Linked DNA regions of Kluyveromyces lactis. The protein of the gene in region 2 interacts with the protein of the main gene of each other region in a pairwise test. Links are inferred from orthologs where the notes say so. Each region holds a gene or a part of one and is shown on either strand. Other genes may lie near its edges.

The links.
Region 1: the proteins of END3 (region 2) and MET4 interact in a two-hybrid assay, tested with the Saccharomyces cerevisiae proteins (2 studies listed by BioGRID). The link is inferred for Kluyveromyces lactis from reciprocal best matches to the Saccharomyces cerevisiae genes END3 and MET4.

What each region holds. Positions count from the first base shown.
Region 1 is NC_006039.1:1,125,435-1,129,368, reverse strand, and holds MET4 (Met4p), read right to left. Parts: upstream 2,631-3,934; coding exon 501-2,630; downstream 1-500. Other genes in the region: SNAP receptor VAM3, read left to right, coding at 1-349. UniProt on the Saccharomyces cerevisiae protein: Positive trans-acting factor capable of stimulating the transcription of the MET genes from the methionine biosynthetic pathway. MET4, MET28 and CBF1 are required for full induction of MET25 and MET16 gene transcription.
Region 2 is NC_006039.1:982,841-985,759, forward strand, and holds END3 (End3p), read left to right. Parts: upstream 1-1,276; coding exon 1,277-2,419; downstream 2,420-2,919. Other genes in the region: AXL2 (Axl2p), read right to left, coding at 1-166; chaperonin-containing T-complex subunit CCT2, read right to left, coding at 2,570-2,919. UniProt on the Saccharomyces cerevisiae protein: Component of the PAN1 actin cytoskeleton-regulatory complex required for the internalization of endosomes during actin-coupled endocytosis. The complex links the site of endocytosis to the cell membrane-associated actin cytoskeleton.

The DNA of each region.
Region 1 (3,934 bases), about 140 kb from region 2:
TCCGTTACTTTTGTCTACCCAACAGCAAGAGCCTTTGTTGAATCAGGATGAGTTAGATTTTCACACGATAATTCAACATGAAAGATCCCAGGACATATCAAAAATCCACTCTGCTGTGCAAGAGGTCAATGCCATCTTCAAACAACTAGGAAGTCTGGTACAGGAACAGGGCGAACAAGTTGACACAATTGGCGAAAATGTGACAGGATTATCTAATAATTTGCAAAAGGCGAACAAAGAACTTCACAAAGCAAATGAATATCAAAGGAAAAAGAACAGATGTGGTACAATACTTCTAGTAGCTATTGTTGTTATCACTCTAATAACTCTTATCGCGATTCTATCATAGGGTTAGATTCTACGAGGAATGTAACTATATATTAATACAAAATTTATCTCTGGCCTTATACTTGGATGAAAGTTACGTTACGTTTTAGAGAACACGCATCATCAGGTAAATATGTCCGACTTAGAGGTTACAACTAATTATTAATCATAGCTTACTTGTCAGTATCCTTTTTAGTGCTTTCGGAGGAGTTATTTTTGGATAGTTCATAAGACTCAACATTCTTGAGATCTCCACGTTCAATGACAAGATTTTTGAGAAGTCTGTTTTCCATTTCAAGGGTATTGATTCTTTGCTTCAAGTCACAAGCTAACTGTGAAAGATCTTGGACCCAAGTTTCCATTTCTTTCTCTTTAAGTTTTTTAGTTTGATCCAAGTTCGGCAGTTTGGGTCTTGAAGAAAGGGTTGAGGAAGTGGACGACGATTCTACACCATCACTGGAGGAATTGTTTTTATCAGAATCAGTATTATGCTTTTTTTCGTTTATCTTCTCATCGAGACTCTTAGCAGCATTTTCCTTGTCATTGAGAAGTTCTTCCGATTGTCTCACCTCTTCCTTCAATTTAGCAGACGTTACATCCTTCCTAAGAGAGGAAGCTGATTCTAGTTTCCTGACAACTGATTTTGGTGTTTTACTGATACCATCATCCAGTGTTTGCTTTGCAGAATTCTCTTCGCTTTCTTTCTTTATGTTGTTAGAAATTGAGCCGTGGTGCACTTTCGGTGAGTTTTTCATATATGTATCAATAACTCTAGACTCTTTTTCCACTGGAGTTTTTTTGGCTCTTTTTGGATTAGGTTTATGGACACTTGATTGAGGAGATGGCTCAGGTTTTTCATGCAAAAAATCCAATAGCATGCCAACGGAGCTTTGAATATGTTCTTGAGGTTCAGGAACCAGTTGATTTTGCGAATTCACATCTATCGATGAGCCCAGATGGGAAGCTGACGATGGTGGTCTATTTGTAGAGTGATTATTTAAATTAGTTGGCTTCCTCACAGGAGGATCAAACTTTTCTCTTTCTCTTTCATAATAAGCCATAATAGCAGCTATGGCGTCAATCTGTTCTGGTTTAAAGCCAACATTACGCAAAGACTGGTAAGCACCTCTGGGAACATTAATGATAGGCAACAATGATACCAAAGTCGCAGTTTGTATTGTAGAGTAGTCTGGCATCTGTATATTTGATTCAAATCCTGATGTTGCAGCCGTACTTGGACGATACGGATTTTCGTTGCTATTGACATGATTATTACCATGGTTACTAGCTGTGTTGACGATTGAAGAGGCAGACGATACAGTGGTATTGGACGGATATGACATTGAAGTTAAATCATATGCGGCTAATAAATTTGTTAGTGGGGAAGTGGCAAACGGCATATCTCGTTGGCGGTTTGCACTTGTGCCATTTAGGTTGCCTGTATTATGACTATTGGATTGGTCTTGAACATCAAAGTGTGTAAATCCTCCATGATCGGGGATCGGAGAATTCTGTGTCGATGACCTTTTCCTCGAAAACCGTTGCCGCGTATGATCATACTGGTTTCCCAGCAGGTTTGATTTTCTATCGAACAAGTTTCTCTTTTCCGAAGAGTTTCTGTTATTATTATTATTATTATTATTATTATTATTATTATTGTTATTATTACTATTATGATTGTTACCACTGTTATTATTATTGTTATTGTCGATGTTATTATCATTAGTACTAGGATTAGCATTGTTGTTCAATCCGAAGTTATGGTTGCTGTTGTAATGGTCGCCGTTGTCATCGCTATCATGTCTATCAGCTTTGTCTTCATCTGGGAAAATAAAAGTCTCATCTGCGAAAACACTCAATTCCGCCGCTAAACGTTCATCCATCGCGAGCTGATTATCTGCACTTAAACCACCAACTTGATGATTCAAGGGCATCCCACTAAATGAATTTACAGTGTCACCATGAGGTCCCTCATTGTTGTAAAAAGAATTTGTCACATTGGGTCCAAAGTCAGAGTTAAAATCAGTAATAAAATTATCAACAAACGCTAGTTGTTCCAAAAGAATGCTAGGGGTAACATCATTATTCACATCAGCAGGGGGGTTAATCAACGAATGTAAGTGATTCGATGCGGTAGATGGAGAATGTGTCGAGAATTCCGGACTGTTCCCCCAAATGTTGTCCATACCTTGACTGGGATGACTATCATTAGGATTTCGAATATGATTATCCATATTCCTTGCACCAACACCGCTACTGCTGCTACCAGTGCGCTTAAGATTATTGGAAGTTCCACTATTCATAGCGGAAAGAATGAGAGAAGCCGGCTCGATAAATAAAGATTCACTGTCGTTATTCCCTGGAACTAAGGCTCAAATTTGAATGTGGCCTTTCACTCGATGCTGTTGATATCAACAGTAGACGATGATTGAAAATACTTTAGTTTGTATTATTCTTCAGCTCAGGTCTCGTGCAATTTCATCAAAAGTCGGGAAAAAAATGAGGAAAGGGAAAAGAAGAAGAAAAAAGTAATCACCAAACTGTGGAACGTCTATTACCCGGACAAGAAAATTACCCGGATACAGACATTACATCAGCCACAGTACAAACTGCACGTGATACGAAGCACGTGATTTGTGTTCCCTCGTGTTGTTCGCTTTTTTCTTTTCTTGCTTTCCTCCGGTTTCTGCGATCACCCGCGGAAAAATGTTTATTTATCCATCAGTATTAGTGCCTACATTCTCATTTCTCGAGTCAGTAAGCAACCCCGCATTTTATTGCTGGAGTGTTACCGCGTAGATGCTCTCACACAGATAGAAAAGCTCGCTGATCTAAAGAATGATTATACATATCGTAAAGAGAAAAAACAGCACACTAGTGACAGTTTGAAAATCCAGCACAGCAAGTAAACACTCATCCGATGCTCTCCCTATACCTGATCTTTCAGTACTAATGCCGACCGCCGGTTGCCGATCGCCGTTTGATTATTGTGTTTTGCTTGAGGTCGTTACCTGCGTTTGCCAAGTCTTTTTCTTCCTTCAAGATAAGGAGCTTGTAATCTAATCTTCAGAGATGAAAATCTGATAGATAGCGTAAACTAGGGAATCGACAAGACCCCATCGCAAATTATCGAGGACAAGAACAGGAGGTGCGATAAATATCTCCCGACTGACCTATGCATATCAAAAAAACTTTCTTGTCTCCTACCAGTTTGCTCTTACTGTTTCGTGAAATACGGATTAAAGTTTCCTTTTCCATGTTTCTTTTCCATTTTCCTGTGCTTTTCTTTTTTTTACAAAAAACTGGAAAGGAAAAATGAAAAAGAAACATAGTGAGGGTAAATACGGGTTGGTACGGGAAAAGAGCAGCAGAGACACAATTCTATTAGCAGGATAAAACGGCTACGATATTGCGGCTAGTAAAACACAATTTGATCATCTGTGTAAGTAAGAGCTATTGCTCCTTGCATAGATTACCTTGTTGCTCTATCTCCGTTCCTTCCTATCACCTGAGAATTTCCCTCCGTAGTTTTCTCGGTACACAGTTTACATAGCTTAAAGTTAGGTGGGTGTGTGAAATTTAATTTCTTTTTCAGTGTTTTCACAAA
Region 2 (2,919 bases):
CGTTAGTTGATTTAAAGGTGTCATTAGAGATTTTAAACTGGAAATCCTCGTCAACTCTTGCAATTGGTGGAAGCTGTTTGTTAATAGGATAAGCTTCGTATACAGAAGCTGATGCGACGGCAAAGAGAAGTGACAGCGCCGAAGACAACAGCAACTCAGTCTTCATAACCCTAAACCCTGTATAATGAACTAATTTCCGTTCGTGTAATTTCTCTTATTCCAAATTAAAAACTAAAGTCCAGTTGAACAACTATGAGTAAACTTAGTTCCAATTTTCCTTGTATGCGTTTCTTGAGCTCTTAATTCTCTCTCTGCTATTGCTTTCAGATGAAGGCTGTCAAGGAGTGAATGAATGGATCAATGAACAACGTAGCGATCGGACAGTTAGTGCTGCTCCTTCTATCTCAAAAGTTAATGGATAGTATAACGTAAAAGCGTTACTGGATTGCAGAACCGTTAAGATGAGGAAGAAACGAATGGGCCCTGAGAATACATCTTGTTTTATTTAAGGCGGGAGCCCTCATCTCGTGAAATATATGAATATTAATTGAAAGACACCAAAAATATCACAGTTGCAAGACAGGAAAAACCATTATTATATTTTGGTATTACTTCTCAGTAAACTAACGGGCCAGTTGGAAACAATCGAAATCCTCTACAACCCTGTCTTAGCTTTTTTCATCTCACATTCTACTTCTGGTCCCCCAAATTCTCACCTACCTCAAAGTTCTGAAGATTCACTTATAATTCTTCTTTTGGCATCCTTAAAACATTTCGCGATTTCTCTAAATGTGTTACCAAAATAGGATATAACGCGAACACCGGGTAAACCAGTAGCATCCACCAAAAAGATATAAAAAAAACAGATACAAATTCTTGTCACGTGAGGGGTTGTTTGACTATTATTCAAGGTCACGTGTGTTACGTATAACGTGACTTCCCCTTTTTGTAATGTAGGTCAATGGAATTTTGATTTTCTTTCAGCACTGAAATGGGTGATATTACTGTTAAGATCAATACGATGAACTATCCAAAAGGTTTAAATTGCAATTTATTGAAGTAGATAAGGTTCCAAACGATTCAAACCGAAGAACACGCTAGAGCGATAGCAGGTATAACATATTCTTGTTTTATTTGTTCCTGTCTCTTTGACTGATTGTGAGTAACGCAGGCATACTTCAAAGAAAACATTACGTTTGAGCTCAGTGTTAATTTGATATCTGACCTCTATTTTAATCGCGCTTGACTCCACAGATAATTCAAATACCAATTTAAGATGCCAAAGCTTGAACAATTTGAGATCAAAAAGTATTGGCAAATTTTCTCCGGATTGAAACCGGTGGAAAATAAGTTGACCCATGATCAAGTACTGCCTATCCTTTTCAATTCTAAATTGGACACCTCGATACTTAACAAAATATGGTTTTTGGCCGATATCGATGATGATGATCAACTAGATTTTGAAGAGTTTGTGATTTGTATGAGAATGATATTTGACATGGTTAATAAAAACATAGATTCTGTACCAGATGAATTGCCAGATTGGTTGATTCCCGGTTCAAAAGCCGAATTAGTCAAACAAAGAAAAACTGAACGTAGTAGCGGAACAGCAGAAACAAGTTCTGTGGTCAATGTTCCGACATCTTCGCCAGCTGTAGACGATTATCAAAAAGAAGTTGATTGGTATATATCAAGAGATGATAAGTCACAATACGAATCAATTTATGAATCAGCCATAACCTCTAGAGACAATAGTGTATCTTATGTTTCACTATCCTCCGCCGTTAGATCGAAGTATATCAATCTATCATCTCAAGATTTAGAAAAAACGTGGCGTTTGGTTAATCCTAAGCTTGACACTTCCATAGATAAGGATCCAGCACTATACTTTATTCATATTCTGAGACAAGTGAACGACTATGCTTGCCCAATACCATCACATTTACCTTCAGCATTGAAAGAAACTTTTACAAAGACTAGAGTTTCCACGGATTTGTCTTCCAAGCAGAGCGAAGTAAGAAGGCCAACACTATCCACATCTAACTCTTCATCTTACCAAATACCAAAACGTGGTGGTACTGATTTTTCTGTTACTCAGGGAACTGATTGGGAAGTAGTCAGACTTCAAAGGGAATTGGCAAATATTGACTCTGAATTATCGTCAGCACAGCAACAATCCACCTCTCATAATGACTCAAATGATAGAATGAAATTAGTAAAACAACAGTTAGAACAGTTCTTGGAATACCAAAAAAACCTTGTCAATAATTCCAATACTTCTTCAGAAAGCGTTGATGTTGGAGGTTTGAGGGATGATATAGAGAGTATTGAGCAGCAAGTACAAATGTTGGAGGAGTACCTGAAAACAAAGAAGTCGGAACTGCATAATTTGAAGATAGAGGTGCAATCTCTTTACTGAGGTTATTGACCTACCCTATATACTTTCTGGAGTAAATTTTGAACTACGTTGTTTCATGTATAATGATAATTCACTTCTTAGCTTAACTTTTTGGATATTAGAACGAAATTTAAACGTTTGTGGTGATTGCTTAGTACTAATTTAATTAATTTACATATGACCGTGCTGTCTATCGGCTGTTCTTGGTTTAGCCCTGATAATATTATCCACTCTCAAGAGGACTTCGGCTGCTTCGCTGGCTGAGGTTACTACAGCTCTTTTCAATTTATAACTTTCCACGATCCCTAGTTCTCTCATGTCAGCAATGGTGCCGTTATCCAAATCCAAACCTGATGTACTCATGCCGTTGTAAATCGAAGATCTTAACTTTGTGATCAATTCACTACTATCGAAACCAGCGTTGTCCGCAAGAATAGTAGGCAATTGTCTTAGGGCTTTTGCAAAAGATTCTACAGCAAGTGCTTTCTTACCTTCAACATTTTGCCCTACTGTGTCAACAG